Linked DNA regions of Lonchura striata. The protein of the gene in region 1 interacts with the protein of each later gene in a biochemical or structural test. Links are inferred from orthologs where the notes say so. Each region holds a gene or a part of one and is shown in the gene's direction. Other genes may lie near its edges.

Region 1 (7,209 bases):
GGGAAGTGAAACCTTTTCTGCAGCTGTCAGAGATCTTTTCATGAGCATCAACTCCCAGTTCTGAATGAATAAGACAAATCATCTACTTTGTATGGTGACTTTGGACACTTAATCTGACAATCAAGAGAGCACCAATTTTATTGTTCTTGTGTTTTCTTTCATTAGTAAGCCCCACATAAAAATGTCTTGAGCTTTACTCTTTATTCTTCAACAGTCAGCATTTCTTTTTACTAAAATTAATACTATAATTATAGTATTCTAGAAATATTCCACCTTATACAACAGTGTCCATCTTTAATTATGAACTGATGTACCTGTATTTATTTAATCTATTCTACCTTATGTTGTAATGGAATTTGTCTCAGCTTGTAACTACTGTATTTTTTTGGCCATACTAATTACTGTAAATTCTTGCCATGTGATGATGTCTGCTGTCATTTTTTTCTTGGTGTTCTTGTGTTGATTGACATTGTGTGTGAATCTAGGGAATGGTTTTTGAAGTCTCCTGTTCTGAGTTCATTATACCTCTCCAGTTACTGTGTGGGACATCATCTGCAACACATCCACTGCCACTGCCAGTTTGAGAAGTCCACGTTGTCAGCTGGCTCCAGTGGGACTTAGGGGTTCACCAGGTAGCTGGCATGAAGTCAATCCCCCCATGTCCTGCTGCCCAGCCTGTGGCCAAATTGTGATTGCCTCAAAACATAAGAAGCCTGTCAGCATTCTTGCTCCTTGTAGTGTGGTGCCAGCTGACCAGGTGAAGTTTCTAAAGCAGAAAGAGCCATTTTTAAAGTGGCAGCTGGACTGCTTTGAGGAGTAGGAGCTGGTGTAGGATCAGGTACAAATCTGTGGCAGGGCTCACTACTATGATCACTTGCCAGAGCAGGCAGCTGCCAACAAGTTCTGGCATAGTTTCTCAAAGTGGGAAAACATCATCTCTGTTTCACTATAGTTTATGAAACTGGGATTATTAGGCTCTGACACAGGGCTGCTTTTCCCCCCCATGTACAAATGACATGGGCTAGGATCAGGTGGCTGTTATAGAAGGTTTTCCAGGGGAAAAGCTTGTGCTGTGCCGGCGTCCCTGTTGCCAAAAGCTGCCTGGTTCTGTATTACACATCCCTCCTAAGCAGTATGTGTGCTGCAACAAGCTGCCTGTCCCTACCAGAGACCATCCCAGCAGAACATCCCAGGCACACTCCTGGCAGCAGCTGCAAAAGGGATTTTAAAGGAAATCTGAGGGCAGTGGGAAAAGGCCACTGGTCACATCCTCAGATGCATCTGAGGACTAAAGTGGCAATGGGCTGCTGCTTTGTGTAATTGTCCTGGAGTTCCTATGCCAAGGGTCATTTTGGAGCACAGCCAGGGCGTGTTAAGCATAATGCTGACTTCTATACTGACCACATCAGTCACAGTTTAGAGTACAAGCTTTTCTGTATGCTGCCTGTAGTGGTTTGATTTAAATGATATTGTTAAAGTCGTGGCACAAATGATGCTCTGGTTCACACTCAGTTTTCCCCTCCTCCAAGGAAACTACACAATTTCCTGGAAGCTGGAGCCTGTAGAAGATGATATGTAACACAGGACAATTTTGCAACACTGTCTCTAGTTGTAATGTTGCTAGCAAAAAGTAATTTTCCATTCATGGGATATTTTCTATATGTGCTGGAATTTCAAACCCACTTTTCATACTGAAGTTTAATACTGTGTTTCTGGTTCAACTGCTTTCAATCAGCAAATACACTCCTAGAACAGAAACAGAAGTGCCGGGAAGCAACATCATTCTCTGAGGTACAATAAAGCTCACCTAATTGCTTCCTGACTTGCTGATCCATCATCCTGACCCCCTCTTTGATGTTTTCTTTCTTTCTTTTTTTTTTTTTTTTTTTGTTCCCCTAGAGCATTAGTAACAAGTGAGAAATGCTGTCTCAGGGTGTTATATATGGGATTATTTCGCTATCCCCAGCACAGTGACCGTATGTAATGGGATTATCTCTTATTTAAAATAAAAAAAGACTTGGAAACATCAAATACTGTATATAAAAAAATAGTTTCTTTATAGTGGTTCCTTTAATAGTAAAAAAAGTTTATTTTTGTAATAATACATTTTTGTCAGTCAGCAAAACCAATCAAAATGCTGCAGATGTCTCCTTTCTGCTAGCTAAATTTAGATTGTTCTTCCTCTCCTTCTGTATATACATTCCTCTGACATCAAGAGGGCTATTGCCCCTTTACAGCACATTTATTGCTGTTGTAAACACTGAAAACTGATGAGGCCAGATGATGGAGGCTTCTGCCAATGTCTCTTCTTAGCCTGCTTTCATTTCAAAATATCTGAACTGGTACCAGCTGGTGCCAAAATTCTGTGATATGAAAATACAACAAGAAAGGAAGAAAATGGGCAATTGTGTGTCAGCACTAAATGTATCTTCTGCTTGCTTCAATGAGATGTGTGAACACTTTCACAGTACATAGCTATGGGAGCAGGAGAAACTCCTGACACAAATCAAAGAACAAAACATAGGACTATTGGGGAGGGAAAAGAGAGAGGCCTTTTCTAGATCTAGGTTAGATCTGTCATGGTGTAATATTCCTTAAGATTAGGTGCTTGCCAAAGTGAAGTCTGGATCTGATTTTTAGACTTCAAATTTATGAGAGTTGCCCAGGAGGCTCTTTTTAGGTTCTTTGGGTAAGTTCTTGAACATTTTCAGTTGTGCTTAAATCTAACAAGTGTAAATGGAAATGTGAGCTTGGATGAAAAACCAAAAAAACCCCCAACCAAACAACCTCCCCCCCCCCCACCCCCCCATCTGCAGTATTTGCCTTGAACTTTCAAGTCTCTTTCTGCCTCTCATACATGTATACCTACAGGGTTTGAAGTGTATCAGATCAGGGGCTCTGGTTGACTGTCCATCTCATTGAGAGATAAGTTAACATTCCCTCTTAGAGCAAGGGATGCTCCTACATCCACCAGCTTTAATATACATTTCCTTTTAGTGGGTATATAGAATATGCTGCAAAGACCATTTAGCTCATATGTCCAAGGCACCTATTTCTATGCTGTTACCTCTTTGCCATCTTAAAAGAAAACAAGATGTTTTGCCTTTGAAAATAACTTATTACCATTTCCATGCCAGTTTTGAGAAAGTGACTATCATTATTCTGACCAGTCCCTGATGTCAGCCTATACAGCCCATTTCTTAAACTTTTTATGTTTTCTCCTGTGATGTCCTTATGCTGACCTTATGTCCAAAGCTATTTATTTTTCTTCGAGTCCTTCCTCCTCATCCTGCTCTTCCAGGACGACTGAGGGAAAAGCCCCAGCACCAGGTGGGTGGCAGTGCTCTGTGTGGTACTGACTGCGGAGGCCGGTGAGGCCAGCGAGGTCCCTCAGCCCTCCTGCCTGTCCCAGGCCCTGCGAAAGGCGGCCCCGGGCTCCCCGCGGCCGGGCACGGCTCCACCTGCGCTTCCTCGCGGCAGGAGCCGCTCCGTGCCCGGCACTCCCACGGCACCATGGCGGTGCTTCGGTGCGAGTGGCCCGGAAACTCCCGCACTCCCGGGACAGGCGATCCCGCAGGTACCCGGCGCACACCTGGAGCGCTCCCGCCCTCCCGCAGCCCACGCCGGGCGCCACCGCCGGGGACGGCGGCGGCGATGTGGTGCAGGGGCGCTCGGGGCGGGTTCCGCCGGGGCCGGTTCTCACGGCGCTGCCGCCGCCGTGCCGGTGCCGGTGCCGGTGGCGGTGGCGGGCGCGGCGGGGCGGGGCGGGGCGGGGCGGCCCCTTTAAGGCGGGGAGCGCTCACCTGCCTCCTCCCCCCCCGCCGCCAAGGTGCCGGCCCCGCGCCGGGCCCTGATTGGGCGCCCGCCGGGCCCGGTCACGTGGGGGGGGTGCGCTCCCCCAGCCTCCAGGCCGCCATTTTGGTTGGAAAGTTTGGAATTTCCGAGCGGTGCGGGCGGGAGGTGGCGGGAGCGTCCCGGCCCCGTCCGCCCCGGCCCCGGCCCGCCGCGCCGCCTGCCCCGCGCTGTCCCGCCCGGCCCGGCCCGGCCCGGCTCGCCCCGCATCGCGCCGCGGCGGCGCCGGCGGGAGCCCCGCGCGGAGCCGCTCGCTCGCCGGGCGGCGGGGCCGGTCCGGCGGGGCGGCCGCCGCCACCCCCCGCGCCCGGCCGGCAGGGGGCGCCGCCCCCCGCGCCGCCCCGGGCCGCGCTCCGAGTGCGCGCGGCGGAGCCCCGGGGCAGCCCCGGGCGGGACAGCGCGGGGCGCGATGCCCGTCCGCAAGCAAGGTGAGCTCCGCGCCCGGGCCGCGGCCGCCGGGGCCGCCGGAGCCGCCGGCTGGCGGCCGCTGCCGCGGCGGGACGGGCGGGGGGCGGCTGGCGGGAGCCGCGGGGCTGCGGGCGTTGCGAGCGCGCCGGGGGCACCGTCCCGCCCGCGCTCTCCCGGCTGCGAACAAAGGAGCTCCGCGCCGGCCGGGGCGGTCCCGGCCGCCGGGGCTTGTTGCATCCCCGGGGCTCCTGCCCGGTGCGCCCCGGACAGTGTGCCTGCTCTCCGCTTGCAGATACCCAGCGAGCCCTGCGCCTCCTGGAGGAATACCGCTCCAAGCTGAGCCAGGCGGAGGATCGGCAGCTGCGGAACTCCATCGAGCGTGTCATCAGCATCTTCCAAAGTAACCTTTTCCAGGCTTTGATAGGTAAACGTTGGCTTCTTTCAGTTCGTGCGCAAGCCGGTCGGTTCTTGCTGATGTTGTCGCTTGTGTTGTTAAGAGCAAAAGGTGTTTTACCCGTAAGTTAAAAGCCATGTGCTTGTCGTTGTGTTTTTGTTTTGCATAGTAACACACGTGTTGTTACAGATCAACAGTTCACTTGTTACACGTACTTTCTTTATTTGAGGTTTTTAACTGGTCTAAACTGCTTAAAACTCTGGAATAGTTCTTAATTCTGTGACATGTTGTCCTAGATTTCTTGAGATTGTTTCTCCATGCATCTTTGTTCACCTGATAAATTTCTAAGGAGGGTGTGTTTTTTTTTCTGTCTGTATGTAACAGGTTAGTGAATGAATTGAAATGTTTTTAGTCTAAGGAAGCCGCAATTCCGGTTGAAGATTCTCTAAAAACAACACAAAGTGTATAACTGAAGTGCAAATTTAACCTAAAGTAAATGAGAGGAAACCTCTAATGCTTCAGGGAGTACTAGAGTATTCTCCTTTGTTGCATATAAAAGTATAGAGAAAGCACTTTTAGATCTCAGTTTACAGTCCTTATAGTGCTTGACTTGATATGTTCCCATAAGTTCATAGAAGAAGTCGCATGTAATTTTGAATTTCCTGCCGGTCTGGTTGAAAAAAAAAAACCCTGAACATAAATAGAACTTGCAGAATCCTGTCTTTATTTGGAAACTTCTGCAGAGAAACAGTGAGAAGTGGTTTCTTCTTGATTGATTGTCACTATCTTTATGACAGTCAATGTTAGCTTACCCTCAAGAATAAAAGTTGTTCTGTATCCTTGTCTTTTAATAGTAACCACTGTCTGAATCGGTGGGACTAATGGCAAACATTGTAGCTATATTTGTTACTTGACTTACTACATGGCTACTGTGCTAGGGTGCACATCTTCCTTCACAGGCCTGCAGCTTCTTCCAACCTGTGTTCTGGTGAAAGCACAGGGACAGGAAAAGCATAAACATGCGTTGCTGCTGAATGCTTTCTTCTGGAGTGTTTATTTTATCATGTGTAGATTTTCAGAAGAGAGTGGTTGTGATGTTTTTTTTCCTTAACATGTAGCTTCCTGTGGGGTAGTTGTGAAAATAGGTCACTTAAAAGACTTTTCCTTATAGGAACTCTGCATTTCTCTTCACTAGACAGTTGATGCTAATCAACTCCATGATGAAGAGTTAACATAATCCTTGTGGGACCATGTGAACGGATTCACTCTTTGGCAGATCAGAATGTTGAAATCTTGTGTCAAATATTTAATGTACAGCAGCAGCACTTTTTATTTTCACCCAGAAAACTTCAGTGTTGACTGCCATTTTTCTTGTTCTGGGTGTGTGTATGTATGAAGGTTTTTTATTTTAAAACTCTTCAAGGTCCATGCAGTACTCTGTTTTCTCCCCTTCATTGAAAAGATACCAATCTGTTAGACTTAGATATTCAAATTGCAAGATGTATTTTTTTCCCCTCCATATATAAATGTTCATTGTTTATAATTCTACACCTAGTAGTAGTAGTGGACTTGAAAGAGCAGGCAGCCTCATGTCTGCAGGAGCAGAAAGGAGGAATGGGTTGTTGCCTGGGTGGACTGTGTCACTTGTTTTCTGGACTTGTAAGAAGCTGCACATTGCAACCACAGGACCCTAGTTCTTGTTGAGTTCATCTGTGCATGCACAGCAGGTGCTTCTTGGGCATGTTGCATTAACTTTGCATTTCCTGGGTCCCTGTGTGATAGTTTATTAGATTGCATACATATGTTCCCAAACCATCTGGCAGAAGGCTGGTACTTGCCAAGCAATTTATGCTCTCAACTTGGGTCTTTCTCCTTTAACCTGTTACTTTCTGTGCAAATGTCAAGGGAGTTCTTGTCCCTGACAGGCTGCTCCTGGCTGTTGTTTTCCTGGAAGCACCTTCTTTTATGGTGTGATTACTGCATGATGGGGGTAAAAAAGAGTGGGGAGGCTCGCTGGAAAGGCTGTGATCTGGAGGATGGCTTCAGTTACTGGGAAGGCCTTAAGCTGGCTCCTTCTTGTCCTGTTTCCATGAAGATCTGGGAGCAGGCTGGATGAAATGTTCAGTTGTGCTGGGGGTTAGACTTACCTGGAATTCTCTGTTGGTTATTGCTTTATGGCTCAATTTGAAGTGTGCATTTTATAGAAGTTGTGATGTGCTCCCAACTGAAATAGCCAAATGATGTTCTCAATGTGGCTCAACTATACTGAGTTATTTCTCTTGTAGATCCTTCTTCCAGAAAGTGTGCTACTTTTAGTTTCTGTTTTTTTTTTTTTTTTTTTTTTTTTTTTTTTTTTTTAATAGAATAACTCTAAAAAAAAATCCCCACCAAACTTCATCCATTTAGTTTCTCCTTTTTCTGCCAAGTTACTGCACTATATCCAAGACTTGTTGGCCCATAGTAGGTAGGTTTGTGAAGGTTGTAGTCAGGATCTGCTGTCAACTTCATGCATCTTTTTTAGTATAATTTTTGACTTGGCAATCAAATACTGTTCT
Region 2 (8,050 bases), on another chromosome or scaffold:
AAGTTGGATTAGGCAACAAGGTATTCCTTATTCTGCTAGGTGGTCTGCTAGGTGGTGTGAGTCTTGTGGTATGTCACCAGTGCTTTGTTTGCTTTTCTCATCGACAAAAAAGAAGTCCTAATAGTGTGATGAAGATCTAAGATTAAATATATTTTATGAGCATTAAGACAGATTCTTCTGCTTTCATTACATCATCATCTCATCTCGCAGTGAAAAACAGATTCATTACTGCTTCGGTAACATGCTGGACTCAAACATAACCTGATGACTAGAACAACAAGTTAGACCAATGTGAATTTGCTGCACTTTGCACATAAACTATATTTCTGAATAGTTGAAATATAGAATTGATTTGTTCTTCAAGCCAGCTGTAATTCAACAGATCATTAATGACGAATGGCAGAACGCCCCAGCCATCCTTCCAGGCACTACTCCAGATGGAAGTCATTGGATAAAGAACAGGAAGGTTTGGCAGAATGTGAAAGAAGAATAAATTTGCTGCACATCATTCATTTTGCCTGACTGCAATAAAGTAATTGTAACACAATGTTGTTACAGGATAACAGTCTCCTGCTGCTTTAGAAATGCTTTGCAAAACAGGTGTTTACTTTCTCTGTGGGGACACATTGATCCTGTGACAACAATCTTTTCTATTAAAGGAAAATTAAGTACTTACAGGTTCAGCAGTACTATAAAAAAGATTATTATAAAAAGCCATATAATGTAGTAGGTGAAATTATATGAACTATATATATTATATATGTGAGATATATATGTGATATGTGCAGCTAATGTCTAAGAGGGATTAGTTAAAATACTTTTAGCAGCTTTGCAACCAACATTTTCTCAACAAAGGCAGACAGGGCAATGCAATGCACTCTGATGATGTTGTTTTTGTTATTTTAATCTTCCAAGGCTGTAGAAAAACAGCATTTGTGAACAAAAATAATATGAAAACTCCAACATATGTCTGATGAGAAGTGCATAGTTAGTAGCAAATAAATAAAAATCATGAATAATTACCAATAAACTAACACACTCTAAATAATGGAAATTAAAGACTATGTATTTTCTGTCAGGACTGAACTCAGTTTTGTAATGTTTGCTCATTAGCACTAAGACAAAAATATGAAAATAGATAAAAAATGATAAAACATTTGTGATTTTCATAATCTTTTCCTTAGAATCATAGACACAGAATCGTTTAGGTTGCAGGGGACCTCCAAGGTCATCAAGTACAACCTTTGACTGATCATAACCTTGTCAACTAAACCACAGTGCTAATCCACAACCTCTCTGGGCAGTCCAATCCAATGCTTAATCACCCTTTCTGTGGAATAAAAAAAAAAAAAAAAAAAAAAGGTCTTCCTGATGTCCAGCCTGCATCTGTCCTGGCACAATGTTAGGCTATGTCCCCTTGTCCTGTCACTTGTTACCTGGAAGAAGAGGCTGACCCCACCCCGCTGCCCCTCTCTGGACACGCTCCAGCCCCTCAATGTCTTTCTTGCAGTGAGGGGCCCAGAACTGAGCCCAGGGTTGGAGGTGTGGCCTCAGCAGTGCTGAGTGCAGGGGGACGGTCACTGCCCTGCTCCTGCTGGCACAGCAGTGCTGATCAGGCCAGGGTGCCATCGGCCTCCTTGGACACCTGGGCACACCCTGGGGCACGTTCAGCCAGTGGTCTAATGAGAAGAGTAATTATGCATTTGAAATTGTAAAAGAATTAAAAGTACTCCATATTTTTTCTGACGTGTCTGTAATGTGGGACACATACATTGCACATTGTTGTAGTATGAATGAAAAATTGCATTGGCTTTCTTTTAGTGAACCTTATTAATTTTACAGACATTCTGCTATTTACTCAATAATTTGCCAACTACAAGTTGGTGCTGATTAGACATGTATAAAAGAAGAATATTTGTTCTTATATGCTGTAAATGTCTATGTCTATGGGTTCTCAAAGGCATTTGACAGCCAGATGAAGCAATCCCTGTGGTATTTAGCTTTTGCCAAGGCTGTGTCTGGATCAAGAGAAATTAAATGAGAATAATTAACTGGGGACTGAATGACTTGTTTGCTCACCAGACTCACCTCCAGAATCTGCATCATCTTGAATCTTCTGCTGTCCATTTCTATTTAGTTCAAGACAACTTATGATGATGTTTGGTAGTTTTCCAGCTGGTTTCTCTATTCAGTTCTCTGTACTTCATATAATGAATCCCAGAGTTGCAGTACGCATACTACTGATATCCTTAGTAACTGGATTGGGCAGGTATGAGGTTTACTTTCACAAGCTTTAAAGGTTGTATCTAATCAGACTAGCCAACACTATCTGGGTTTACTCAAAGCTCTGCTTCATCTGAATAAAATAATACTTGAAGAACCTAATGGCATTTTCCCCTGAGTTATGAACTTCACTATCTTGATGTTGGAGGAAAATGTCTTTCACATTCTTGAAAAGAGTTGCTTTGGTACACAAGTACATTTAGTTATGATGTCCTCACCTCAGGAATAGTCACTGAGGTAGAGAATCTTCCTTTCCATTTCAGGATAACTATATTATGTAATAAAAACACTCAGAAGCACTGTCAAATGCTACCACTAAGTTGCATTGGGAAGTGCTACTTTAAACTTCAAGAAAAAGAGGAAACTGAAGACTGAAAAGGTGTCATTTTTGTCATGTTGTAAACCTCTTCCCTAGTGCTGAATAAAATGCAAAATGCCTCCAAGCAAGTTGCTTGCCCTACAGCTGAAGTGCTGCACATGGAACCAGTTGACACTTTGGTATTTTTGCAGTTTAGAACTTATAAATATGTATTTGCATTTTCTGTGCTAAACTATGTGGCTCTTACCCAGTTGTCACTGTCACTTCATCAACCAGGAAGCCAGTGGTAGTTTACTTCACTGAGGACTGTATGAAATGATCTACGAGAAGGAAGTAAATTTAGTGGAAACTGGAGCACATGAACAATGTTACACAGAGTACCCTGTGCTAGGGATGATGTTTAGCACCAAAGGGCACTTTCCAGACCCCTTAGTTCCTGAGTCCCTTCAATAGTGGGAGCTTGGCCTGCAGGCCAGCAAGGGCTTGTGCAGCAGGTCTCAAAGAACCTGTGAAAATGGGGATTTGTTCAGAAGGAGGAACAAAAAAGGCAGTGACTGTTTCGCCTCCCTACACTCATCAGATACTGATGAATATTGTTAATCACTTGAGGAGGAAACGCAGATAAGTACAACAGATCTGAAGGTTCATGTGTGAATTACTTGCATGCCTGATTCATGTCCTAGGTCTGCCAAGGGAATCACCAGGACTGCAAAAGGAAAGTCTGTGCATCCCAAGTGTAATACTTCCCATGGCAACAGAAGGTAGTATGGTACACTCTGGCTTTACTACACATCCTTTCAAGCCACAGGCTTCAATCATTCGACTTCATATCTATTTCTATAAAAAAAAAAGCAAAAAAAAAGACACTATGCGAGTCAAGGGAAACAAGGATGATACACTGAAAGCAATGTCCTGGCAAAGGTTGTTATGCCCCAGTTAAAAGCAGCATGCTCGGCCCTAGACCTGTGCCCCATCTGTGAGCAGACACTGGCTTTTGCTGCCTGAGGTCATGCTCAAAAGCTCCTTCATACCTGTGGATATGTCCCTAGTTTTTTCAGTGAGTCCTTGTTTAGGCTGCATTCAGACATTTAAAAGGATACGGTTGTAAAACATGTCATAATACAGTGAAAAGGTAGAGTAAAAACTATTTAAAAATCATTGCCTTTTAAAGTAAGTCTTGTTTGAACAAAGGGAAAGTAATGACAAGCTGTCTTCATTGATGGTAGGACGAACCATTTCAGCTCAGATCACATTTCTTTGGAACATTTTTGCTGAGGAGAACTTTATGGGATTATCACTATTGGAATGAATTTTGAAAGGTGTCTTTAAACTGACAGCATGGGTAGGGAACGTTGGGAAGGAGACACCTTGTGTGTCATCTGGGATCGAAGCTCCTCTGCTTTGGGTCCTCTAGACCAGTCCTTTCTCCCCTTGCCAGGGCTGTAGCGTGGAAAGGAATTTAGTTTCTTTGCTGTTTTGGACATGACCCACAGTGTTAACGGGAGCAGTGCTTGCAGAAAGACAGCTTCTGATTCTGAAAGCAGATGACCTGCATCCTCTCTCCTCAGTTTTTAAAAAGATTTATTTCTTAAGCTTCAGGTTCCCTAATGTCATTTTAAAAGTTGGCTGGCGGGGAGGCTGGCAGCGGGCGGGTACCGGCTTCCCCGGCCGCTGGAGCTGCCAGGGAGCTGTCCAGCATCGCGGCGGCACTGGAGGCGGCGGCGGCGGGGCCGGGGCGGCTGCCACGGGAGGGCCCCGGGATCGTCCCCATTCCCGGCGCTGGCACCGCCGCTCCCCGCGGAGCCGTGCGCGGGTGCCGGGCCACCTCCCCGCTTCCCTCAGCGCGGCTCCAGAGTGCCAAAGCGCAGAGCTCGGCGGGCGGGAGCGCGGGCTGCGCGCCGGCCCTGCCCTCGGCCCGCCCCGCCGGGCTGGGGGCATCGCCGCGGCGCGGGGCAGCGGGGCCGGCGGGGCCGGGGCCGGCGGGGCCGGGCGCGACAGGCGGCGAGCGGGGCGGGGGAGGCGGGAGGAGGAGGAGGGGGAAAGGGCTCGGAACAACACGTGATCCCCGCGGAGCAGCGAGGGAGCCGGGGGAGGGGAGAGCGGGGCGGGCGGCCGAGGCAGAGGAGGGCAGCAGCCGCCGCGGTTGCCGCCGCCGCCGCTTTAAAGGCTCCCGGCGAGCGCGGCGCGGCACCGCGCTCCCGGCCCGGCGCGGAGAGCCGCGGAGCGGGCAGCGCCGCGCTCTGCGCCGGCCCCGGCGCGGCGGCTCCGGTGCTGCCTCCCGCCCGCCCAGGGGCACTCGCGGCCATGCGAGGCGGCCGCCCCCGCGCCCGCCCAGCTCGGCGCTGCCCGCCGCGGCTGCCCGCCGCCCCGCGCTGAGCTCGCCGCCGCCCCAGCCCGGCCCGCGGCACCATGTCCCGCCGCAAGATCTCGTCAGAGTCCTTCAGCTCGCTGGGCTCGGACTGCCCCGAGACGAGCCCCGAGGAGGAGGGCGAGTGTCCCCTGTCCCGCCTGTGCTGGAACGGCAGCCGCAGCCCCCCCGGCCCCGCTGACATCCCCTTCGCCGCCGCCGCCGCGGCCAGCGCCGGGGCGCGCCGCGCTCCGCGCCGCCGGCGGGTCAACCTGGACTCGCTGGGCGAGAGCATCCGCCGCCTGACGGCCCCCGCGGTGAGTGCCCGCGCCGGCCCCCGCCCCGGCACAGCAGCCCCGGCTGCCCCGCGGGCTCCGTCCCTGCCGGGAAAAAAGCGGCCGTGCCCGCTCTCCGCTCCCTGGTGGACCCGCCGGGTCGCTGGAGCCCGCTGCCTCTCCGCGCCCGCTCCGGCTGCCGGCTGCCAGCCCCGCAGACTGCGGGAGTGCAGCTCCCGGCAGCCCGCTGCTGGAAATCGGGTCGGGAGTCACGCTTAGGCGCAGCTGCCGCTTTGGCTGGGTTTATAATTTCTGCCGAGTCCCTTTCTGAATGAAAACGAAGCAATAAAGTGCTTATCACTGGTAGTAGCAACATTTTTATTTTTTAATATAAAAAGTTACATCTGTGTGATGCATGGTGTGCACATCGTTCCTGAACAATGAGGGGATGTGAACTTTTACATTTGTAGGGCTTCTCTGTGCTGAATAGGGTAAAACAGAACAAAGTTCTGGCTATGCGCTCGGAAATATTTCAGCAACAGATTTCCCTGTGCCTCGTGGATGTGCAGACATTACTGACAGATCAGTTTCTTCAAAGCAGACTTTGAAATCCACTACTTAATGATTGCTTGGATAGCTGCATCTGTAGTTGAGTCAGGGACCCATTGTCTGTATGCTGTTAACAGCAGGAGCGAAGTTAGGTAGAGCCTGTAACATATGCTGGTATAATTTTGTAAGACTGAAACCAGTGATTCAGGAGCTCTTGTAGATTAGTGTGAAAAAGAAGGTTTTTCTCCTGCCTTTTTGTTTTGCTTGTGCTATGCTCCTGTACATATGTCTATGATCACTGCTAAAATTTTCTCCTAAAGTTTCAGCTGCAACTGAATGTTTGTTTGGGGTCTGAGATAGTTTAATGTTTAAAAACATAAAACATTAATGGCAACAAGTAGTCTTAATGTGCAGGGCAACTGTATCTGTTATTGTGGCATCATATAATCTTTTTCATATTATTAGGCAGTTCTGGAAATTCCTTATGAGTCTCATCACCATCAGCTCTCAGTTTGCATTTGTTTTAATAGACTCTTTTCTGTTTGGAGTTTAAACACTGGACAGGAGTAGACAGGGTGTTTAATGCGAGAAGTTTTAGTGCATTAAATAGCTAATAGTCATCCAGTAGCAGTTAAGACTTTTCTTTCACATTGATTTTTTTCCTCTCCACTGGGAATCTGGTCTTGTAATGCTGTTATTAATAGATGATATTTCAGGTGACCTGTCTTGTTTTAGTATATTAAAAAAAAGAGAAGCTATTTAATTTGATAGTAATGCAATGATATAATTAGAGCATTTGTTACCCCAACTATATGAAGTATTCAGAAGTAGTTCAGCACAGTATTTTGAAATAACCTTAGTATTTGTGTTTTCTAAGCTTTGCCTGTTACCTCCTGTATTGTGCTGCTATAAGAGACAATTACAGTTTTACATATAAATTGATGAATTTGTTTTCAAAATAAACATATTCCTTGAATTAAGACATGAATAAAATTCTGATAGATCAAGTCCTCTTTCTCCCCTGCTCACAGAGAAATTTTATTTAAGAATGCAAAAATTTTGTCTAACTTGGTTTTAATGTCCCAAACAACAGCTTTCATGATTTCCCTGGGAGGTAATTATAGCTATCCTTGTTGCTAAAAAAAAAATAGGTTATTTAAAAATTATAATATGATACACATTACTTAAAATTTCCCTTTTTTTCTTTGCTTTGTAACTACAGCTTCATTCCCATCTTACGCATTTTGGCATAAATTAATGTCAGTAAGTCAAATAAGTCTTATTGTTCTAGTCTTGGTTTAAGAAAAGAACCAGGTCTCCTGCCATTTTTCACTCAGAGAAACCACTGTTAAGATGCTTTGTTATTTTGTGCTTTTCTTACTGAGCTCTGTGATACTGAATATATGCCTTCATGCAACAAGTCAAGTTACCATATGTCTAACACTTTGGATCTGATTATTTTTTCACATCTACTGATATAAATCAAGAATAACTTTAATTAGAAGTAAAAAAAAAAAAAAACCACTTTGCCTATAAAATTGATTTAATAGGATTCATTTATATTGTTTGTTAAATTAGAAGGCAAGTCTGAAGGGAGCACTGACAGATGTTCTTTCTAAAGAAGAAGCTCTAATATTTTTTTGTAGATGTAGATAGATCTTCATTCCATAATACTATAGATAGGGGTCTCTGTTAAATATATAAACATATTTATGTGCATACAGATGTATATACTAGATATCTAGCCTGCAGGGTTTAACATTGTCTCTTCAAACATGAATGCAGCAGTTATTTTTCCTCATCCCAACTTTCAAAGTTGAAGGATGCTACAAGTTCCTGATGTTTATACTTAGCTGTAGTTTTTTGTGCTTTCCTTCAGCAATGACTAGGACTGAATACTCAGTAAAATATTGTTTTGTGTTTCCACTGAAGAAAAATTTTGTGTGTGTATTTAATACTATTGTACCATGAAAGGAGTTCTAAGTGGTAGCAGGAGCTAATGAGAGCTGCTCTGGGCACATGGAGAGCCTTGAACAGAGCAGGAAGGGGCATCCAAGGGGCAAAAGAGCATTGGACACCCAAGAGGGGTGTGCATAGGGCAGAGCAGCCAGAAGGCTGTGCAAACAGGCTTCATCTTAGGAGAGGTAGTGCAAAAATGTGTATGAAATGTATCTCCTGTGCAATTCATTCATGAATTAGTACAGCTGTATTGTCAATTGTATGAGATTCTGTAGAATGAAATTTGAGATATATTACACTAAAATATAGAGAAAATAA

What was found. The genes of interacting proteins can lie anywhere in the genome.
Region 2: the proteins of DLG1 (region 1) and GUCY1A2 interact in a test that uses a peptide from one of them, tested with the Homo sapiens proteins (2 studies listed by IntAct, with this or other methods). The link is inferred for Lonchura striata from reciprocal best matches to the Homo sapiens genes DLG1 and GUCY1A2.

The regions. Positions count from the first base shown.
Region 1 is NC_134612.1:15,040,727-15,047,935, reverse strand, and holds the start of DLG1 (disks large homolog 1), read left to right. Parts: upstream 1-4,195; 5' UTR 4,196-4,261; coding exon 4,262-4,280; intron 4,281-4,552; coding exon 4,553-4,684; intron 4,685-7,209. UniProt on the Homo sapiens protein: Essential multidomain scaffolding protein required for normal development. Recruits channels, receptors and signaling molecules to discrete plasma membrane domains in polarized cells.
Region 2 is NC_134604.1:44,012,981-44,021,030, reverse strand, and holds the start of GUCY1A2 (guanylate cyclase soluble subunit alpha-2), read left to right. Parts: upstream 1-4,978; 5' UTR 4,979-5,011; coding exon 5,012-5,266; intron 5,267-8,050. UniProt on the Homo sapiens protein: Has guanylyl cyclase on binding to the beta-1 subunit. Isoform 2 acts as a negative regulator of guanylyl cyclase activity as it forms non-functional heterodimers with the beta subunits.